Pelodiscus sinensis: one gene and its partners. The protein of the gene in region 1 interacts with the protein of each later gene in a biochemical or structural test. Links are inferred from orthologs where the notes say so. Each region holds a gene or a part of one and is shown in the gene's direction. Other genes may lie near its edges.

The links.
Region 2: of the proteins of SREBF1 (region 1) and SIRT1, one has a biochemical effect on the other in vitro, tested with the Homo sapiens proteins (2 studies listed by BioGRID, with this or other methods). The link is inferred for Pelodiscus sinensis from reciprocal best matches to the Homo sapiens genes SREBF1 and SIRT1.
Region 3: the proteins of SREBF1 (region 1) and MED23 form a complex in vitro, tested with the Homo sapiens proteins (2 studies listed by BioGRID). The link is inferred for Pelodiscus sinensis from reciprocal best matches to the Homo sapiens genes SREBF1 and MED23.

The regions. Positions count from the first base shown.
Region 1 is NC_134726.1:33,268,652-33,276,457, forward strand, and holds the start of SREBF1 (sterol regulatory element-binding protein 1), read left to right. Parts: upstream 1-4,800; 5' UTR 4,801-5,080; coding exon 5,081-5,186; intron 5,187-7,806.
Region 2 is NC_134718.1:27,706,495-27,713,900, forward strand, and holds the start of SIRT1 (NAD-dependent protein deacetylase sirtuin-1), read left to right. Parts: upstream 1-4,349; 5' UTR 4,350-4,424; coding exon 4,425-4,809; intron 4,810-6,791; exon of another isoform or gene 6,792-7,269; intron 7,270-7,406. UniProt on the Homo sapiens protein: NAD-dependent protein deacetylase that links transcriptional regulation directly to intracellular energetics and participates in the coordination of several separated cellular functions such as cell cycle, response to DNA damage, metabolism, apoptosis and autophagy.
Region 3 is NC_134713.1:93,693,471-93,701,556, reverse strand, and holds the start of MED23 (mediator of RNA polymerase II transcription subunit 23), read left to right. Parts: upstream 1-5,020; 5' UTR 5,021-5,325; coding exon 5,326-5,385; intron 5,386-8,086. UniProt on the Homo sapiens protein: Required for transcriptional activation subsequent to the assembly of the pre-initiation complex. Component of the Mediator complex, a coactivator involved in the regulated transcription of nearly all RNA polymerase II-dependent genes.

The DNA.
Region 1 (7,806 bases):
GCATCAAGAGAGCTGTGGGAGGCAATGCTTCAGTTGCTACCTCGACTTTCTATTCTACGTGGTGTCTGGCAGCACTCTTATCCTCATCTGAGTGCCTCCTGGCTGTGAATGAAGCTGGGCAACTCACATCTGTCCCTGGTGTTGGCTGCCTCATCTTCTCCCCCCCGGCTTGGCCAGGCTCATTTAACTGCACAGCCACTAATATGATCTATGCCAGTGTTTCTCAACCTTTTTAATAAAGTACCCCTTTTTTAAAAAAATAAATAAATAATATTGAATAGCCTCACTACCTACAGTTTTCAGATACTCACAATTTTTTTCTATTATTGCAACACATTTGTTTAAACAACTTAATCATAGCCAGGTGAGTGGTGAAATTTTTGGGTGTAAAAAGTACAAAAATAATAAAACATTGTAAAACTTAAAACAAATTCAGTTTTCTTCCAATTTCAGGTGTTGATATCCCCTCCCCAACTTCTCTTGAGTACCCCTAAGGGTACTTGTACCACTGGTTAAGAAACACTGATCTATGCCAACAATGCCCCACTGCCACGTATATTGGCCAAACTGGACAGTCTCTACAGGAAAGAATTAATGGACACAAATCCGATAGCTGAAAAGGCACTACACAAAAACCTGTTGGAGAACACTTTAATCTACCTGGACACTCGTTAATGGGTCTCCAAGTCACCCAATTCCACAAGCCAAATTCCCAGAGAAAGATTGGAACTTAACTTCATTTACAAGTTTAATTCTTATGCAAATAGTATGAACAAGGACATCAGCTGGCTCACACACTACTTTCCACATCTTGTGACTTAATGTACCTAACAAACAATGGAGGTGCTAATTGTTCTTATCAGCCTGTTCTAATTACTTGAACCATCTACTCACTGTCTCTATTTTTTCCCTCCCCCTTCTTTATTCTTGGATCTGGACTTCTAATACTCCAGTCATCTGAAGAAGTGGGTTACACTCAGGAAAGCTCATCTACATGTTTTGTTAGTCTTTAAGGTGCTATTAGTTTTTCCAGGAGTAGTGGTTAGTCCTGGCAGAGCCTCAAACTGGCTTCCCAAGCCCTGCCAGAGCAAGTCCAGGCCTGCCCAGCTGGGCCCTGGCCTGGTTTGTTTACCCTTCCCACTGCCCCCTCCCTCCCAGCCAGCCTGGGGAGAGTTTGGTGACTCCAACCACGTGCACCAGCTGCTTCCTCCCCTGGAGGATTCACATGATGTAATCGCAGCAGTGACGCAAAATCACTCCACTCCGGCCAGGCTTGCCCATTGGCTGCTACCGCTGGTTCTACAGGCGGGGTTTCCCCACTGCTCAACCGAACTTAGGCCGGGGGAGCCCCACCCCGGCGGGAACCCATTGGTCGCCTGAAATGCATGGAGGCGGGTCCTCTTTTAACCCCTGCATCGCCATGCTACTTGGTCTCATTCTACACTGGCTACTCAAGTAGCTTGTGTGGGCCTAAAAGATACTGCAAGGGGCCGCAGCTGCATTAGAAAGGGCTAACCCCCAGCAAAAGTTTGCTTATGCAGAGCAGGGAGCTGCCTGAGGGGCAGGGAAAATAGACACGTTTGATTGTAATGCCTCGTGCTGGAAGGCTACTGTAGATTTTGCAATAACTCCTGATCTTATTCACACAGCCAAATCTTTCGCCTAGGCTGTGTTCAATCAGAGATTAGTCTGAAATGCTCTTGCTGTCCCTGGGGTACACTTCAGGGATAACAAGGAGTCCTGTGGCACCTTAAAAACTAACAACATTTAGTTGGGCATAAGTTTTCGTGGGCAATGATCGACTTTGTCAAATGTATTGATTCTCCAAAAGAACATAAGCCCAGCCCTACTAGGTCAGCCTAACCATCCATCTTGCCCAGTGTCCTGTCTCCAGCGGTGGACCATGCTAGAGCTTCAGGCAGAATGTGCAAAAAAGGGCAGTTGGAGTAATCCACCCTCTTTCTCTCTGGTGTTTAGTAGTCAGGTTTAGGGGCTGCATTGCTGACCATCTGGGCAAGAACCCACTGATGAACCTTTGCCATAAAGTCATCTGGTTTTGACCTTCCTAACACCCTGTGGCAATGAGTTCCACAGGTGGTAAATTATGTGGAAAAGGTACTTCCTTTTGTTTTTATTAAACCTGCTGCCTGTTAATTTCCTTGGGTGACCCTTGGTTTTTTGTATTATGGGAAAGAACAATTTACTCCTCTTGCTGTTCATGATTTTACGGACCTCCATCTCTCTCTCGGGGTATGTCTACACTACCCTCCTAATTCGAAATAGGAGGGTAATGTAGGCATACCGCAATTGCAAATGAAGCCCGGGATTTGAATTTCCCGGGCTTCATTTGCATAAAGCCTACCGGCGCCATTTTTAAATGCCGGCAGTTCGAACCCCGTGCCGCGCGGCTACACGCGGCACGGAGTAGCTAGTTCGGATTAGGCTTCCTAATCTGAACTACCTGTACTCCTCGTGGAATGATTAGTTCGGATTAGGAAGCCTAATCCGAACTAGCTACTCCGTGCCGCGTGTAGCCGCGCGGCACGGGGTTTGAACTGCCGGCATTTAAAAATGGCGCCGGCCGGCTTTATGCAAATGAAGCCCGGGAAATTCAAATCCCGGGCTTCATTTGCAATTGCGGTATGCCTACATTACTCTCCTATTTCGAATTAGGAGGGTAGTGTAGACATACCCTCTCTCTCTCTCTCACACCCACACCCATAGTCTCTTTTCTAAGCTGAACAGCCCTCATCTTCATATCCTCTCCTTGTAGCCACTCCATACCCTGGATCATCAGGATCATCAGAGCCAGAGAAAGCTATCACCTGGTGCTTACTACTGTGCCTTTTGCCCAAGGGGCTGAAGGAGAGGAATCAGTATGGTATCTAGAGCAGCTGTGAATTGGAACTCCTGGGTTCTGTCTTAGAATCATAGAATAATAGGACTGGAAGGGACCTCGAGAGGTCATCGAGTCCAGCCCCCCACCCTCAAGGCAGGACCAAGCTCCGTCTACACCGTCTTCATCTTTGCCACTGACCTTTGGCAAATCATGTGTCCTTTTAGACGCCAGCCTTTGCTGGAAGCTACTGCTGTGTAGGCCACTTTCAGTGACCTATATACCCATTTCATGGCAGAAGTACATTATACATTGCCTGTGTTTAAAACATGGAAGGAACTGAAAGATGCTGTCTAGATTGGAGAAGGCAGATGCCTGCAGGTTCCTGTCTCTAGGCTTTAGTAGCATTAGTTTATCACTAGGGGAGTCCCAGCCTGGCTGCTCATTAGCAAGAGGGAGTGAGGGTGTATGGACGGAGGCCAGGTAGTCACTTCTTTCAGAGGCAGGAGGCTGTTCTTTGATATTGTTCACGGAGTGATTGTGTGTTTCATACTTGGGAAGGATGGCCCTGCCTGAAAGAGGCTTCCAACTTCCTTTGCCATGGTTTTGGGTGAAAGAATCTGTTCTGTGCTCTAGGGTGGGCTTGATATTAAATTTGAATCTGGATCCATCTGCAAATAGGGTCCGTGGGCTATCTGTGGATATAAACTCAACTTTGGCAGCTTTGCCCCAGACTCCTAATCTTATTAGATGATTACACCATGGTAACCACACCCCAAAATCACACCCCCGGGGACTTCAAGGCAGTTGCCCTTTCCCTGTTCATCACCACCTCTTGCTTCAGAACAAGTTCAGTTCTTGCTAGTCAGTGTAGCTGAGCTTTGAAATCTGCAGAATCTCTCAGCTGAGCATTGCAGAGACTAATTGTGCTGTCTTCCTGGCCTGTTCCCTCCATTAATTCAGCCTCGGATCGGTGACAACACAAGATATTTCTCTGAGATTTGGGGCCAGCTAGGTGGCACTCTCCCTAATCCTCCTCTCTCAGGCATCTGGAGCGGGGTAGCCCCTCTCTTTCTATCCTCCCACTTGTTCAGACTGCTAGCTGTAGGCGAGCGGGGAGTTGTAGTAGCAAATCATGCTGCAGAGCTGTGCAAAAATCTAGGGTTAGGTTGCCACTCTGCAATCGATCTCTCTTGGAGTGCTGCACATGGCAAACATAAATAGTCCCCAAAAGGCAGGCCTGGCTAGGGGCGGGTTTACTTTCTTCTGGGTCTGCCTCCCCCACGCAGCTCTAGCTAAACCTGATACAAACACACCCTAGACTAGGGTGAGTGGGAAAAGGCCAAGCCATGGCTCCAGGCTCACGCAGTGATCAGCCCGGCTTCCCACTCTGCCTCGAGGAGTGGGTTGTCCAGGCTGGCTGTCAAACAGAAGCGGGAGGCTGCGGCGGCAGGGTCCGCGCGCAGCTAAAACCCGGGGGGCTCTTTGCTGTGGATTCCAGGGGTACATCGGTATAGGGTGGGGGGGGGCGCTCGCATTCCCCCCTTTCGGAGCCGCTCTCCGCTGCAGTCACAGATTAGCTGGAGTCTTAGGGCGGCGCGGTGCGCTACCCGCAACGTGTCTCACTGCAGGGCGCGCTGGTGTGGGGGGGGTCATTTTAGCCCCCCCGGAAAGAAATGCACCAGCGCGCCTGTGACACCAGATCCCGGGAGCGCTGGGTCCCCGCGCCAAGGGGAGACCCCGCTTGTCTCCGTCGGCGGGACACGCGGCCGCCCCCTCCCGGGAAAGTCCTGCCCGTTGCAGCTCCAATCCGCGGCAGGGGAGAGGGGACCCCCGCGCCTGCCCCTCTCCGCGCCGCGGGCTCCCCTGACTCAGCCTCCAGGCTCAGCCCCCCCTGCCCTGCAAGGCTGTGGCTGTCAATCAGGCAGAGGGGGTGGGGCCAGCAGATGGGGCTCCACCCCTCCCTGCCCTCCCCGGTAGCAGCAGGTTTGAAGCACAGTTCCATTGAGCAACTTTTTTTCCCCCTCCCCAGCTATGGAGGTGGGGGCTGCCGGCAGGCTGCGGCCGCTGCCCAGAAGTTGGGTTGCTCCTGTGGGCTGCTGAGTGGCTCGTGTCCATGGACTCCTCCGGGGGAAGGATTTGTTAGCAGGAAAAAGAAAAGGGGGGGAAGCCCCTAGAGCCCAGCAGCAGCCTCCAACGTGACCCCCCCCCCGGCAGGGGGGACACGACCCTGCAGGCCGGACAATGACCAGCCTCTCCTTTGAGGACACGTCCCTGGACAGCCTGGACCCTTCCTTGACTCTGCAGGAATCCAGCGAAATAGACACAGCCCTGCTGAGCGACATCGATGGTGGGTAGCGGCCGGGCACCGGGCAGCTGCCCCCACGGGGAGCAGGCGTGGGGAAGCGGGGCAGGGGACAGCTGGGTCCGGCTCAAGTCCTTGCTAAATGGCAGCTCGGCCACGGGTCTGCGGGCAGCGGGGGTGAATGTTCCTGATGTCCAGGCACTTGTGAACCCGCCTGGCTTAGGGGGGAAGGGCGCTGGGCTTTTTTCCAAGGCTCTTTACCCTTCAACATCAAGGGGGAGGAGGGGTTATTTGCTGCCCCCCTCCGTGCTGCATCTGTCAGGGGCTCGGCCCCTTCCCATCCTCCGGCGCTGTGGCTGAGCTCCGGGCCGTGCAGCCGCTCGTGTTGCCCACGTGTGTGCGAGAGGGGCGCGCTCTGCAGGCGGGCGGCATCTCGGGGTGCTCTCCGGGTTGGTGCATGGCTGGGGGGGGGGGAGTTTCCGTTCTCGCGGGGGGGGGCTGTCCCCACACTGCCCCTAGGTGGGGGGTCACTACTCGCTGAGGATTTTGCTTGGCCCCTGCCAGGGGGTGCAGGGAAGCCAGCGCCACTAAGAAGGGACCAGCCCGGCGCTGCTCCGGGCTCTGGCTCCACGCCCGCTGCTGAGTTGTTGCCCCAAGCCCCGCCCCTTGGCTCCCCCGGGGCCCTGACGTCAGCGGGAGGGTTACTCTCGGTCATTTCCCTCTTGCCGGGGAGAGTTCAGCCGCGAGCGGGCGGCGGAGGGGGCGTGGCCTTGGCCTTGGCCTGCTGGAGAACAGGGCCCCCAGTGCAGCAGGGAGCGCCCAGCAGGGGCCAAGCCAGACCTCCTGGCCCTGGGCATCTGCTCATTCCCCAGCCCCTTTGCCTGAGCTGCCTGGGGCAGAGCGGAGGAGCCTGGCTTGGAAATGCTGCTTGGGGCAGAGCGGAGGAGCCTGGCTTGGAAATGCTGCTTGCCCTGCACCCGGCTCCTTGCAAGGGGGGTGCTGCTTGCAGCCTGCGGGCCCTGGTGAAACCGTAGCAGCCTCTGCAGCGGGTCAGGCTGCCCCAGGGTCTCCGCCAGAGTCTGTCGCAGGGATCTTACTTATTTCCATACTGGCCAAGGACTAGCTAGGCACATTCCCCTCCTGAGCTGCGGCTCTCCTGGCTAGGTCTGTGCCTGGATTGGACTTTATTTTGTGCCATTTTTGATGCCCAAGGACAGTGGGGATGAAGGGGCCCATTTAGAAAGGAGGAAATCCCCCAAGTATCCATAGGAGGGTGGGAAGACCGGTTCTAGACCCTGGTCAGGTCCCTGGGAGACATTCAAGTGAGTTTGGGTCAGGCCCTAAGTGAGCTTGGTTTAACAGAGGTGACATCTGCATCCTGCTGCGCACTCAACCCGTCCTTTCTGACATTCGTCTGTCCATGACTTCCGCTACATACATTCTGGTTTCATGGATGACCTGAAGCCAGTCCAGTTCGGATCCAGCAGGTGCTGCCTGCCTCGCTAGTCAGAGGGTGCCTTTTGAGGCTCACATGTGGCAAAGCTAGTGGCGCATGGGAGACTGTTAGGATGGCTAACTGTGGAGCAAGGCATGCATACACCTATTGGATTTGTCAGCTGGGTTTAAAAGTGGCGGAAGGTGATTTCTTTTTCTGCCGTCTCAAATTAAAAGCAAACAAACTGGAAAATAACCTGCCAAGAGGGTGCTTTCATGGAGCAGTTGAAGGCAGGAGGAGATCAATGGCAGGGAGCTGAAAATGGATGGATTCAAAGTGAAGAGAAGGGACACATTTTTAACAGAGAGTTTAACTGACCATTGGAACAGCTGACCAAGGGAAATGGGCTGTCTGTCATTTGACATCAGAATTCTCTGTTGGACTTTTGCCATCAACATCAGTAGGGTGCGGGCTTCTCTCTTTAAATCCAGAACAGATGTCTTTCCAAAAGAAAAAAACAAGGTCCTGTGGTACATTAAAGGCTTACACAGATATTAGGGAAGGGGGCTGCAGCTCACGAAAGCTTATGCCCTCATAAATGTGTGGGTCTTTTAAGTTGCCACAGGACTCCTCTTTGTTTTGGCTGAAACAGACTAACACGGCTTCCCCTCTGAAACTTTCCAAAAGACACGTTCTCTTCAACCACAAGTGAATGGGCTTGGTGCAAGAATCTTAGCATGGAGTTGACCCACCTGTGTTGTGCTGGAGGTCAGGGTAGATGGTCACAAGGATCCCTCTGAGCATTAAAACTGATGGAAAAGTGATGGGTAAATGTAAGCTGAAACCTGTGTGGTTGGTCACTTGAGCAGAAGATTGCTCAGAGTTAAGGCTGTTCCTGTGGCTTTGCCCAGCATGTAGTTTGTATTCTCTGATGCAATAATAAAGAACAATACATTAAGGGTTACTATTAACCGAGGGAAAGAAGGTAGTGGGGTGGGGGAAGCTAATGTGGCAGTTTTAAGGTTGCTCTGGCAATATTAATTCCTCTCATCGGCCTTCTGGAGGGTTACTAGAACAGCTTCATGATGCAATCCTGCTGGATTTTTACACAGCCTATCCTTGAGAAGATTAGCAAAAGGCAGCTATGTTATTGAATATGTGGACTGTGCAGCTGAGAGCCAGAGCAGAGGGAGTTTGGATCTGGCATTTGTTGTCCATACCCACCTCCAG
Region 2 (7,406 bases), on another chromosome or scaffold:
AGGAGTCCCAGGTGACCCCAGGCTCCACATGGTGCTGTCACTTTGAAATGCCACGTGCAGCCCAGCGCCAGCTGAGGACTCCCATCTGGCCCTGGGCTCCACACAGCGCTGCCACTTTGAAGCACCTTGTCCCCCCAAACCTTGCTGCCTTTTTCTGATAGAAGTAGCAAGCAGAAGGGGGGGAGGGAGGAGAGGAGAAGCGACTAGTCATTCACATCCCTAGTTACAACTATATGAAGAGTAATACACAGGATTAACAATATAAAGCATAGTGCTCATTCTTTGATTATGGTCACTGCTGTTGGGCCTTTTTAATTTCTTGGGAATAATAAAGATATTCTTAAACTTCATAGGGGTAGCCAAGTTAGTCTGTAACAGGAAAAAATTAAGAAACATCAAATAGTCTAGTAGCACTTTAAAGATTAACAAAACCTGTAGATGGTATCATGAGCTTTCGTGGGCACAGCCCACTTCTTCAGATGACCAGAGTGTTGAAGTCCAGATCCAAGAATAAATAAGGAAAGACGGGGGGGAGGGAGAAGGAAAAAAATTGAAGGGGAGGAAGAAAAAAAGACAGTGAGTAGATAAGCTTCAAAAGGACAGCCGAGCGAGTCTGTAACAGGAAAAACTTAAAAACCAACAAACAATTGAGGGGTATGTCTACACTAGCTCGTTAATTCGAGCTAGGTAGGCAAATGAGGTGACCAGAGTTGCAAATGAAGTCCGGGATTTAAATATCCCGGGCTTTATTTGCATGTTCCCATCTGGTTGCCATTTTGAAATTTCACTAGCCCGAACTTATTGCCGCGCGGCTACATGCGGCAGTGAAATGTTAATTCAAACTAAGTCCCAAGGAGTAACAGTTAATTTGAACTAAAGACTTAGTTCGAATTAACGTTTCACTGCTGCATGTATCCGCGCGGCAGTGAGTTTGGGATAGTGAAATTTCAAAATGGCGACCAGATGGGAACATGCAAATAAAGTCCGGGATATTTATATCCCGGGCTTCAATTGCCTGCCTACCTTGAATTAACGCGCTAGTGTAGACATACCCTAATAGCATCTTGACTAAATAATTATAAGAGGCTGATAAGAACCATTAGCTTGCACTTGGAAAGGAAAATGAACAACGCCAGATTCTACACAGACATTAAGAACCATTAGCACCTTCATTGTTTGGTTGGTTTGATATCACAATTCAAGCCATTAGTATAAGAATTAAACTTGGGAATGAAGTTAAGCTCCAATCCTTCTCTGTGTATTTGGCTTGTGGAATTGGTCAAACAAAACAGCGACTTGGAGATCCATTAATGAGTGTCCAGGAAGATTACAGTGTTCTCCAACAGGTTTTTATGTGTTGCCTTTTTGGATATCTGATTTGTGTCCATTAATTCTTTCCTATAGAAACTGTCCGATTTGGCCCAATATACATTGCACTGGGGCATTGCTGGCATTTGATGGCATAGATCACATTAGTGAATGTACAGTTAAATGAGCCTCTGTGCCCTAGATCACAATCCAAACCCTTGCACCCTTTCCTACACCCCTTCCTACACTCATACCCCTTACCCAACCTTGCATGCCAATGCACTGAACCAGGTCACAATCCTCTCCTTCACTCAAACTCCCTCCCAGACTTCACACCCCCTCCTGCATCCCAGTCTCCTATCCTGAGCTCCCTTCTATAGCCCTTGACCACTTACCAAATTCTTGGAGTGCTCCCCCATTAAAAATTATTGCTCACCCCTGTGCTGGCTGCTTCTGGAGCACAGCATGGTGCCCCCAGGACAGGCAGGCACCAAGTAGCCGAACCCCAGCCCCCGTCCTAAATCCTTCCTGCACCCCAAATTCCTGTCCCCAGCCTGATAAAAGAGAATGAGGATGGGGAGGGAAGATGGGAGTGAGCAGGTGCGGGGCCTCAGAGAAGGGGCGGGAAGGAGACCAGGAGCCCCCCCAGGTAAGCCTGAGTCGCCCCCCCCCCCACACTCCCACCCCAAAGGAGCCATGTGCTGCTTTAGTTAAGCTGACCTAACTCTTGGTGGTGGCATGATCAGAGTAAAATTCTATCAAACCTAGCTACTGCTGTTAGGGAAGGTGGATATCAGTGGTCACCAACAAGTAGATTAGGATCTACTGGTAGATCTTGGAGCCTTTGACAGGTGATCCTGAGAGGTTTGGCCGGGAGACTATCAAGTGCCAGCACTTCAGCTTCCCCTCTAAGTGCTACCCTGTTGCTCCTTCCCCCAGCCTTGGAACTGCCCCCCACCCATGGGAGCTTCCTGCTTGCTGTGCAGGGCACGGGAAGAAGAGGAAGGGGGGTACTGATCTCAGGGTGCCCCTCCCTCCATCCTGTACCCCATCTCCACAGAGCAGAGGGGGACAGGGGTGGAGAGAGTTTGATGGCTGCTTTTGGGAGTGGTGCAGGACCAGGGCAGGGGTGAGCCTACCTTAGCCCCCTGCACCACCACCAAGAAGCCACCTGTGGTAAGAAGTATCCAGCTGGAACCTGCATTCTGAACCCCAGCCCCCATCCTAAATCCTTCCTGCACCCCAAATTCCTGCCCCCAGCCTGATAAAAGAGAATGAGAATGGGGGAGGGAGGATGGAGTGAGCAGGTGCAGGGCCTCAGAGAAGGGGCGGGAAGGAGACAAGGCAGGGGTATTTGGGTTTGAGGTAGATCCTGGATTGCACTTAAATTCAAAAAGTGATCTCATGTTTAAAAAGGTTGGAGACCACTGATCTACATCAATGAAAAACCCTTTTCCATCAACATATGAAGTGTCTACACTAAGGGTGTGTCTAGACAACAGGGCTTTTTAAAAAGAAGTGGTCTTTTAAAAAACAAAATTTCCCCGCATCTAGACTGCTGATACTTTTGAAAAAATGCAAGTCAAAAGAATGCAGCAGTTTTTTTGATCATGGAATACCTCATTTTACAAGGATTAACGCCTTTTTTTGAAAGTGCTCTTTCTAAAAAAAGGCGCTATGTAATGCAAACTGTGCTTTTTCAAAAAAAGCATCTAGACTGCCAGGGTGCTCTCTTTCAAAAAAGCGGCTTGCTTTTTTGAAAGTACTGTTTGTAGTCTAGATGCTCTTTTTCGAAAGAGGCTTGCAGTCTAGACATCGCCTAAGAGTACCACAGTCATGCTATGCCACAAAACATAGATATGCCCAAAGTACACTAATAGCAATGCCTGTTACTATTTGTAGAAAACCATGACCTTATGAAGAGTGTAACATTCATCGTATTGCCAGCTCATAATTTTATAAAAAGTCTTATAATACTAGATCATCTCCTGCAGGTATATCCTGAGAATCTTAGCTTGTATTTTAAAAAAATTAATGTGAATCTGTAGCCTTAAAGGATACAGAGAAAAGCAGGAAAACAAGAGGCTCAAAAAGCAACAAGGAAAATGTATGAAGCAAATGCGAGTTTCTTTTGGGCTTTTAAAAAGTTTCATTTTTAAGCCACTCAGATTTTTTTAATACACAGGGTTGGCAATTCTCTCTCTCCTTCTTCAACCAGGTTTTCCTTTTTCTCCTACTTTGATGAAAACAGGAATCCCAGTGATTTTAAGCTTGCCTGCACAAACTGGTAACAGTTTAATTGCAGGTGTGTTTTAAAACGGATTTACTTAAATCTGTGCACATTTGCATATGCATACATAATATTTATATTTAGCAGTGGTTTATTTGGGGGGTTAGTTTAAATCTTGCAAAACACAGTTTAAATTAAACAAATACTCAGATGAATAAGCATCTAAAACGATAAACTTTTAAACACACCCTTAGTTAAACTTCTACAGCTCTGGCTGTAATGCAAGCCTTCTGATTTCTTAACACCACTCCCTCCTCCAACTTGTATTAAAAATAGTGGCACCTCCTGTCCGTCCTCTGCAGCCCTCACTGGGCTGATCGCTTTGGGGTGCTCCCCTTCGTTCTCAGCCCCTCTCCCCTACTCTGTGGGACCATTTGCTTTTTCTTTCTCACCTCCCCACCCCTAAGGCCTGCTCCATCCGTGCCCTTACAGCGCTTCCTCCTGCCCCGCACAACATCCCAGCTGCTCACGCCTCCCGCAGCCCCGCCCCTTCCCGCGCTCCCCTTACATAACGCCTCGCACTGGCAAAGCCCCGGCAAGCTACCCCGCTAGTAGGTCACGTGAGGGGGTGGAGGGCATCGGCGAGGTGCGCCCAGCCTTTGTACCGGGGTCACGTGACGGCGGCATTTCCCACCCTATCCCTTCCCCTCACGTGACCCAGTTTGTTGTTGTTGCGGCCTCTGCGGGGAGGGTGCCCGCGTGGGCGGCGGTGAGGTCACGTGCAGGGTTTAAATCTCTCCCTGGAGGGCGGGGGGGATCGGGGAAGGGGGCTGTAGCTGAGGCGCTGGTGCGCCGGACTGGGGGAGGCGGCGGTTGCTGTTCCAAGATGGCGGACGAGGAGACTCTGCTCCTCCAACCGCGCAGCGGCCCCTGTGCCGCAGCCGAGAGCGCCGAGCCCCTTCCTAAGCGCCAGCGCCTGGACTTGGAAGACGGTGCCGGGCGTGGCTCGGTGACGGGCCCAAGCCCAGAGCGAGGCGTTGGGACGGCGCCCACCGCAGGCTCCGCAGCTGGGGCGGTGGGGGGGCCGGCGGCGGAGGGCTGGAGCGGCGCGGACAACGGGGCCGGGCTGCGGGGCCTGCCCCGCGAGGAGCCGCCCCCACAGCAGCAGGAGGGGGAGGGGGCGGAGACGGCGCCCAGTGGAGACGAAGCGGACACGGCCATTGGCTACAGACGGTCGCAGTATTCACACGAGGTGCCTGCCCCGCGTCCCGGTGAGGATCCCCGGCTTGACCCCGTGGCGGGGAGCGGCGCCCTTCCTGCTCCCTCTCCTCGCCGGGGCCAGTGAGAACCCTCCCCTGGCCGCCCGGGCACAGACAGTTCAAGGGGGGAGGCGGCTGCGTTACTCAGTGGGCCTCCCCCTTCTGTGTGACACCAGTCACCGAGGCCCCTGCCCCACCGCGCGCACGTAGCCGGGGGCGAGCCGTCTGCCACGCTCACTCGCGGCTGGGCAGCGTAGGTCGTTCCCTTCCCCCGGCCTGGCGAGGCGCAGTTAACCTCCTGCCCTCCTCCCTACACCGGCTGGGTTTGGGGAGAAGCAAGCGAATTCCTCCACCCGCCACAGAGTCATCTGCTCCGGGCAGGTGTTGAGCAGTGGGCAGCTGACCCGTCACGCTCATCTCCCTATTTGGAGGCGCAATGGAATCAGCCGCGCTTACGGCCCCCATCCTTTTGCAGCAGCATCTTATTAACGGGACACCGATGCTAAGTTTTTAGTTTCGTTTTTTGCACACATAAGCTTGTCAAATGCCCTTTGCGCTCAGTGATGTGCGTTGATTTATGTATGTGTGCGCTCGCTGAGCGTGTGTATTATAGAAGCATGTCTTCTGCTCCATATTGCTACATCTACTTCGGTTTGTAGATATAGAAAAATCGTGTAATTGGCCATTGGTTTGTACTCCTATGGGATTTGTGACAAATTTATTTTTCAACTTATAACTTTTATAGCCTGTACAATAAGTTCAGTAGACACAAAATTATTACACTGCTTCTGGAACTGGAAAAAAATATTACTATGATAATGTAGAGATTGCTAGATTGAAGTTTGAGTGATACTATGTTGATTTCTGTGCTGCTTATTTGTAGATAGTTTTTATGTATTGCATGTGCATCCATTATTCCCAAATTCAGTTTACCCTCTTAATTTCACACTGCTTTTTCAGTTTTATTTCCTGGACTTCTAAAAGGAGACTAATTTAAGTCATGTTGTAAACAAATTTATTTAATAATGTTAATAGCATCCTGTAAGTGAAATTTTTAAAAGGTTGTTTCCTATATGTATTTGGTATTCTTTCAATTTTTGTTTCCTGAAAATAATTTTCATGAGAGTTGTGATCCACTGAGCAAGTCTTGCCAGCTCCTTCTGTAATTGGCCCCAATACTGAGGGCTTTGCCTGAAAAGATTCAGTAAGCATACTAACCTTTCTGGAAACTGCCCTGCTTGAGGAATCACCTGACTGTGCAGAGGGTGGTATAGTTAAACAGGCTCTTCTACTGCAAAAATTTCTCAGTATAATGAGAAATATGGGTAGGGCCTACCAAACTATTAATGATCTAAACCCTAGTCCTTCAAACATTTCCTTAACTTGGTTTAATTTCACTGAGATATATCACATAGCCCTTTTTGGTGAACATAAAGAAATCTATACCAAGGCATGCAACTTGTGTTTGCAAATGTATAAACTATCACTTCTGCTTATTTTATGCATAAATCAGGCTATCTTCCTATAAAGACTTGAGGTGAGAGTGGAAACTGTCCAAACACACAAGACACCATGAGAGGCTAGATTACCAAAATAGCACTCATACTTTTATATTGGTTTCAAATTTTAACTTGTAATACCATGTCTCTTTTAGGGATGTAAGTGACTAGTTGATTATCTGATAAGCATATGCTTATTGGGTAGCCAAGTAGTGACTTGACTAGTCACTCTCCCCCCACTGCCTCTAAGAGAGAAGCAGAAATTGGGGGAGGCGGGGAGGATGGGGAAGGGAAAGCAGGAGCCAGTGCTGACAGGGAGCTGGCTTAAAAGCCAGTTCTCCTCTTCTCTCTCTTCTCCCCCCCCCCCCCAGCACCATTTATAGGGGGACAAGAGAGGCAGAGGCATCGCAGGGACCAGGCCCAAACCAGGAATTAGCTGATTCCCGTCTCGAGACTGTTCCCAGATGCTGTGCCTCTGCTTTTTAAATGTATTAAGAACCACCTGGTGGCTCTTAATACATTTAAAAAGCAGAGCCACAGCGGGGTTAGCTCACTGGCGGGGAATTAACCCTGCTGTGGCTCTGCATTTTCCCCATTTATTGACTCGATTAGCTGCTTGCCTGCAATTTAACATCTCAAGTCTGTTCTTCTATTCCTTAGTTAATAGCTGTAGGGCTTGAAAGATAATCTGCAAAGGAAGATGGGGTTAGGATTTGTACTGCCCTTCTCCTCCTTCCCCCCCACCCCCATAAAAGGGGTATCAACTGCATGTTCTGCTTTTTTTAACATAAAAAAATGAAGACCATGGCCTTATCCAGAATAGGATAAAGAAAATTAAACAATTTGCTTTTTCTTTTAGGAGGAGTTGGGAGTGAGTTACATTTCTTTCCTTGTTCTTCAATTTAAAAATAATCAGACCTGTCAGATCTGGCCTTCCTGGGTTTTGCTGAAGACCTGAGGTTCTAACACCATGGTATACAACCAATTCTGCTATAGCGAACTAACCACGTTCAAGTGGCCAAATACCACATTGTTCAAGCCAAATACTGTAGCCAATAGTGGCTAGTGTATTGGATACCATGTTTCTAATATTTGGAAAATCTAGGGTTC
Region 3 (8,086 bases), on another chromosome or scaffold:
GAAAGCTCATCATCTAATAAACCATCTTGTTAGTCTTTAAAGTGCTACATAGTCCTGTATTTTGTTTCTGAATCACAGTGACAGGCCAGGCGTCCACTGCACCCTGTTGCAGAAATGTCTCCCTCCTAGGGTTGCCAGATGGTTTCCCAAAAAATATCGGACACGTGGTATTTAAAAAAAAAAGGAACATGGGGAGGCGGGGCCACAATTGGCACTGGGAGCCTGTGATTGCGCAGAAGCCTTGCAGGGGAGGGGGAGTGGCTGGAACTCCTAGCCATTCCCCCCGGCTAGGCTTCTGAAGTGCCCAGAGCGGCGATTCAGAAGCCTAGACACATGTCCGGTATTCTCTGATTTTTTTTACCAGATAAATAGCGCAAATACCGGACTGTCCGGTAGAATACTGGACACCTGGCAACCCTACTCCCTCCCTTCCCACCTTGAGATCACTCTAGTGTCATAACACTGCTGTTGGAACACGAAAGTCCAGCACTAACACGCTATATTGTCTTCTGATTGCTGCCCTCCAATACAGATGCTCCTTCTGTACATCCCAAGCAAAGGAGGAAAGAAAATTAAATACAAATCAGACCCCTCTACACACCCGCATACTTCAAAGCAATCACCTCTCTCCTCCCTGCCTAGCCTCTGAAGGAGCTCCAACACACAAATGCCACAAACATTTGACTCCCAAACTCGAATAAAGAAAACAGTGAGATCAGTGCACCTGGAATGGAAAAGGTAAGGGGGGAAAGAAGAGGGATTAATCAGAGTTTTCAAACTCCAGATTGAATCCAGCAGAGAGCAAATCACTCAGCTGGGGTGACCATGTTGTTTGCCAAAGCTAAGTTTAGGACAGGGATGAGGAAGCTAAGGCCTGGAGCTGGATGCAGCCCCTGGCTTGCCTGGATATGGCCCCTGAGGCTCAGGGTTCCCCCCACAGCAATGGGAAATATGTGCTGGTATTCCAGCCTCCTCTCCCACCATTCCCCTTAGGCTCTGGTGTACAAGGGGGCTGAAGCACACAAAATCTACTATCCTGGACCCCACTTAGCTCTGGTATATGAGGGGAACATGGGAGGTGTCTTTCTCCTTCTGAGTTGGGGGCCACATCAGTGAGGGTTTGTTTGTTTGTATTTTGCTTCTCACTTGTGTTTGGCCCTAGACTTATTTTTCTGTGGGACAGCAGCCCACAAACGGTTCCCCACCCCTGCTTTAGGCGTCTCTTAAAACTGATAAACTGAAGTATGGTTAGATTTAGGTCAGGCTTAGAATTACCATTAGTGCCAGTTTGTGAGTTCAAGGCAGGATTAACATGTGGACCATGCTGAGCACCAAATTAGATTTAGTGTGTGGCAGAATTAAAGACCAGGATTCTGGTTAGGGCTGGGTCAGGTTTGTTTTACTTCTCCCTCTGGCTAGAGAACTGAGAACGCATGCTGCAAGCCTTACTAAACATACAATGTTGCCATTGGGGTGAATAGCTGAGACTGGGCATGCACTAGGGATGTTAAATTTAGACTAATTGAATAGTTGATGGAATTTTCATCGACTATTCAAATAGTCGATAAGGGCGTCTCTGCCTTTGAAATGTAGCAAGAGCCTCACTGGGGCCAACAGGGGGACTCAAGTATTCCCCCGACTCAAGCTGGAGTCAGATGAAGGTAGGGAGGATAAGGTAGGGTGGTGGGGAAGGTCCTCCAGTGAGATAATGACAAAGGCGTCACCCTCTGGAGCCTGGGGATGTATTTTTGAATCCCCCTGGAGCTTTTGTACATTTCAAAAGCAGGGAGCACTGGGCCACAGGGGGACTTCTTGAGTCCCGCGCTGGCCCCATACTCTCCACAGCGCTTCTGCTTTTGAAATGTAGCAAGAGACTCCCAGTGGAGTTAGTGTTGGGGTAAACCGGCTTTTAAGCTGGCTCCCTCCAGCATCGGCTCCTGCTCCCCCGACTTGCTGCCTCTCTCTGATAAGCATATCCTTATTGGATGGTCAATACTTGCTTACATCCCTACCATGCACAATGCATTTCACAGGCTCTGTGAAACTCACTGAGATGGAAGAATTCACCCTCTCGTTACTTCTACTGTTACTCCCACTAGCGTAGCTATACTAATGTAAACTTTTGAAATATGTGGGGTTCGCTTGTATTAATTTATGACTTCTATATGCTCTATATGTTTGTCTGATTGTTGTAAGGAGGTTTATTGCAAGATAACAAGATTATTTAAGAAAACCCTGTTTGCTTCAGACATCTACTACTAATCCTTAAGGTCCAATGCATGAGCCATCCACTTCGATTACCAGACTAATTTATTAGGTTTTTTTTGTATTTCCAGGAGGCTCTCCAGACTTGTAAATATACAAGAACAAATATCCTAACTAGAAGAAGAACACTGCTGTAGCACCTTAGCGAAGATGCTATTACACAGACCTAAGCAACAGTAACTATGTGAAAGAAGTTGTGTGTACATAACACTCTCCATGGGGTTTGAGTGTATAAAAGCATCACTCCAGATGGTGGATTTTTTACACACCACAGGGCTTAGCATAAAATGGACCGGGGAGGGGGGGTGAGGGGAAATGTACCCACGACAGCTGTTGAGTTGTTTTGCAGTACGGTTTTCTCTTGCACCTTATTCCTACAAACAAGGCTCAGCAAGATTTTGGTTTAGGAAGGCAGCCTGGCCACCGTAGGCACCACTGCTCCCAAGCTCTGGAGAGGGTGCCCAGCAGTCAGTGTTTTTATATCCTGGGAAAATTCCAAAATTCTGGGAATTTTTGAGTATAATGTGTCAAAATGGGAAATTGGGAATTTTCTTGAAAATCTGTTAAATCCTGGGAAATTTTCAATAAAATTAAAATTTCTGTTCATTTTGTCGTTCCTTTGGTATAAAAATTTGCAGACCATTCAGATTTATCAAAAACTGCTCTCAGTTGGTCAATAGGGTTGCCTGTCAATTTTTAGAACTCATTGAACTTGATGCTAAAAATTGAACAGTGGAAAGCATTTATACTAAATTCAGGGAGTCAATGTTCAAAAAAATATCCCATTGAATAATATTTTGGGTGTTGCTTGTGATGGTGCAAATTTGATGATAGGAGCAAATAATTCCTTTTTCTCTAAACTTAGAGAGGATGTTCCAGATGTTGTTTTGTTGAGATGTATTTGCCATATGTCAGCCCTGATATCAAGTTCAGCTTCTACAGTTTTGCCTAATTTCGTAGAGCAGTTTATAACAAATATCACTAACTATCCAGCACATAGTGTTAAAAAGAAAGAAGAAATTGAGGAGATGGTTGAATATTTTCTCCATTTAAATTTATCTATGTTAAACTCAAGTCAAACAAGGTGGTTAGCTGTACACCCTTGTGTAAATAGAATATTAGTGCTGTGGGATGCCCTGTTTAACTATATACAACTTGAGTGTGTCGATCAAAAAAGACCAAAAGCAAAAGAAATAGACGATGCAATGTGTAATCCAGAACTTAAAGCCTACCTACTATTTTTGAAATATGTTTTGGATTACACGAACAAATTCAATGCTCTCTTTCAAAGCCAATCTCCACTCATTCATTGCATTAAACCAGTCAGTGAACCTTTTCAAAGTAATTGCAACAAATTACTTACAACCATATTTCCTAAAAGGTGACAATGAAAGTTAATGTGTCGCATCCCTCTATTTTTATCAAAATTAATGAAATGTATACTGGTCCAGAGTGTGAGGAGTCCTTAAAATGTATTGATCCTAGTGTAGCTATCAATGTAAGAAAAGTGATTCAGCATTATTACATCACTTGTTGTCAAGAAATGCAGCACAGGCTGCCACTTGACTCAGTTGTTTTCTCAGAGGTTGGATTTATAGATCCTAAAATTTGTCTTAGGATGTTGATGTAGATAAAGAAAAAAAAGATATCTCCAAACTTTGTGCAGTATTTAAGATACATGTGAACTCTGCTCAGAGTGAACTCAAAGCCTTGCCATTTTCTTTAGAATCAAATCAAACTGAATGTGTAAAGAATAAGCCTATTAATGAAATGTGGCATGAAATTTCTAAAACGAAACATTTTTCTGAAAAATGTATGTTTTCAAACATTTGTAAATTATCTCAAAAGGTTTTAGCATTGCCACATTCAAATGCAGCATGTGAGAATTTTTTCAATGGTTACAGACATTAAAACTAAAAGGAGTAACATGAAAACTAAAACACTTAATTCTAGTGTAATTATCAGCTCAGCTTTTAAAGCAAAAAAAATGTTCTAGTTTTGTAATTACAAAGAAGCATTTAAGTTTACATAATAAAAATAAGTATGAATATGGATATGCCAGAAAAACTGGTGGTCAGACTGATAAAAATATTAATGCTGGTGATGACATTTCTAGTGAGGAGTCAAGTCATGACTCAACTGAAAACTCATCGTGATAGTTAAATATTATGTATTAAATATTCTATTCATTTTATATGAAACGAAAATATTTTATATTTGACGACTTCCTTTATTTATCATATATAACTGAAATGTATACTGAAGTGTATACTGAAGTGTATACTGTACGGATTTTATCCTCCAGGAGTAAAATAATTAAACTGTTTTATTATTCTTTCATTGTATGAAATACAATCCATGAAATTAAGGATATTTGGATATATGAAAAATAATTATTTTTGGATGAAAAGTTCAGCTTTCATAAAATTATATTTTTAATTATAGAGAGCATCATAAAACCATCAAAATTATTGTCGTATATTTCGAGTTATTAATTATATATATATATATATATATATGTATATAAAATAAAACCAACGAATTAACGATACATAAAATAGCCTTTATAATATGTAAAAAATAATCTGGGAATTTTTCAGCAGATTTGGGACAGCGCTGGCCTGGGAAAAGTTGGCAACACGATATAGAAACGCTGCCAGCCGTGGGGCTTGCTGCCTAAGCCCTGCTGAGCCGGAGGGAGTAGAGGATGCGCCCCCGCCTGAGCACCAGAGAAGCCTGAGGCCTCGCCAGCCTGGGCCCGGCGGTGCCCGCCCCTGCAAAGGCAGAGCAGCGCTCGGCTTGTGCGCTGGGCGCGTCCAGCAGCAGCGGGGCGGGCCTCAGGCCGGGGAGCGAGGCGCGCGGAACTGCCCGGCCCGGGGAGCTGGTTCCCGGCGGGGCCGGATTCCGGGACGCACCTTCCGCCGGGGCCGCGGCCGCCTGAGCCAGAAGCCGCCGCCGCTGTTCGGCTCCTCAGCGCGGCCACCCCCAGGCGGGGCTGCGGGACCCGGGCCCGGTTCGGTGCCGCCGCCCGCAGAGAGTCGGGGGCCGCGGGGCGGGGCCATGGCCATCCCGATGGTGCCGATGGAGACCCAGCTGCAGAGCATCTTCGAGGAGGTGGTGGTGAGCCCCGGCCGGGCGGTCGTGGGGCCTCTGCGGGGAGGGGCTGGCTCGAGACTTCAGTGCTAAGTGGGGTGCGGGCCTGGCGCGCTTTGGCCGGGGGAGGGGAACACGGGCCCCGCTGTGCCGGCGTTAAGCTATTGAAGAGCCTCACGTGTCCCGCTAAGAACGGGCGGGCAGAGCGAGAGAAGAGTAAAGCGAAAGAGCCTGGGTCTCGGCTCCCTTCTTGCCTAACTGCTGTGGGGGGAGTGATAGGTGGGGCAGAAGCTGGTTTTAAGGAGGGATTTAAAAGAGGACAGCTGATGGCTTTGACAGCCAAAGTGGGTTGGGTTTGGGGGGTTGTTTTCATAAAGGGTAGCGTGGTGACGTGGGAGAAATCATGAGAATGCTTGAGCCAGAAGAGGGTGATCAAGGAGGCATCACTGGTCAAATGAAGACAGGGTTGGTGGGTCGGTCATTTAGTTATGAAGATGAGTACCACAAGTCTAAATGATAATCCTGAAAAGCAAAACCCAGGAGTTTTGTGTTTGATGTAGTGGAAGAGAGGGGAGCCAGTAGGCTACCAAGAGTAGAGAGATGTGGTTGGCCCTAGAGAGGTTAAATTTTGATTAATTAACTAATTGAATAGTCCGTGGGATTTCTATCTATTATTCCATTAAGTCAATAAGGACTAGCAGGCGTTCTGCCTTTGAAATGTACAAGAGTCCCAGCAGGCTGAGGCTGGGCTCCATGTGATGCTTGCGCTTTGAAATGTACAAGAACCCTTGCTTGAGCTCTTGTACAGTTTAAAGTGGAAGCGCCTGCGAGGAGCCCAGGGTCAGTGTGGAACCCCCCGCTGACTCCAGGCTCCATGCCGGCACTTACGCTTTCAAATGTACAAGAGCCCCAGCAGGGACTCGTGTACGTTTAAAAATTGGACCGCTCTCCATGCAGGCGCTTCCTCTTTTTTTTTTAAATGTACAGGAGCCCCAGTGGGGATTCTTGTACATTTCAAAGTTGGAACTCTGCTGCTGCACACCTGTCCCCTCCCATGGAGCTGGAGCGAACTGGCTTTTAAACCAGCTCTGCCCCCCCCTCCCCCCCCCACCTCTCTGTGAGTGGGGGAGCGGCTAGTTGACTAGTATGTTGACTATCCGATAAGCTTTTGCTTATAGGTTAGTCAACTAATGGATTAATCACATCCCTAGTTGGAGCTAGGAAAATAAGCGGATCCCTTTATTTTTAGTAGATTTAAGGAATGTGATGTGGCAGATGTCACAGTCAGAGATTGGGGTTATAACACTCAAAGTCTTGGATGACAATGGCCTCTACAAGAGATTTGGCAGTCTGATGCAAAAGGCTGAATCTTAAGTAGTAGTAGTAAGGCAGCAGTTCTCACAAGTTACTCTTCCTGGCAGCCACTTTGACTTGTTTTCCTAACATATTTAATTAAATTTTGGCAGAACAAATAAATATGAACATATACATGTCCAAATCCTTCTAACTTATTTGTGTAGAGTTCAAGGGATTTTTTTTTCTTTTTTTTTTTTTGGTTTACAAATTCAGTAATACAAATAATGTAGTTGTCTCTATTCTTCACTGGACCTAAACAGAATAGAAATACAAATAAAGTGCTTTGTACCATCCTATCTTTTTTGCCTGCTCCTTTTGCTCATTTCGGGGTGGTGGTGGTGGCGTTTGTTTAGATTTGCTAGCTAGCAAGTCATCTTCTGTGAAAAGTAGGGATGTGACCAAGTAAGCATCACCCTTAATAATTAAGGGTGATGCTTACCAGGTAATCGTTAACCATTAACAAGGAGCAGTCCCCATGGGTGGAAATTCAGGAGACTATCTGTTCCAAACCCTTGCTCAAAGCAGGGCCTCAACTAAATCATTCCAGCCAGGGATTTGTCAAGCCAGGCCTTAAAAACCTCTAAGGTTGGACATTCTATCACCTCCATATGCTTACCACTCTCCTAGAAAAGTAGTTTTTCCTAATAACCACCCTAGACTTCCCCCACTGCAGTTTGATCTGCTGCTTAGCCAGTTGGTAGCCGGTTGCTGCTTAGCCAGTCAGTAGCAGTGAATGGGATTTTTTTATCTTAAGTGCAGGACCCTGCATTTGTCCTAGCTGAACCTCATCAGATTTTTTTTTGGCCCAATCCTCCAATTTGTCTAGGTCACTCTGGACCCTATCCCTGCTTCCTGCGCATCTACCTCTCCCCCCCAGCTCAGTGTCATCCACAAATTTGCTGATGGTGCAATCCATCTCTTTATCCAGATTAATGAAGATGTTGAACAAAACTGGCCCCAAGATAGACATCTGGGGCACTCCACTTGATACTGGTTTCCAGATAGACATCAAGCTGTAAGATTTTAAAAAGCATAGACATACTTTAAAATTTTAATTTTAAATGTTTATTTGGGATGTTAAAATGGTTAAACGGTAGCACTTGGCTGGTTAACCATTTTAACCTAGTTCCTGTCCAGCCCTATCGCAGCTGCAGCTGGGGGTCCCACCACCCAGCCCAGTGGCTCGCGGTGACCAGGGCTTCTCCAGCCCAGCATGTCTGACCACCTCTGGAGTTATTGGCAGTGTTTATTTTTTAAAAATGTGTGTGTTAATTTTTTTTTAAATAATCTTTTTATATCTACCTTGCAATAACTAAATTAACAAACTTGAAATACTTTTTCTGAGAAGCTTGTGTTTGTCCGAAAAATTGTT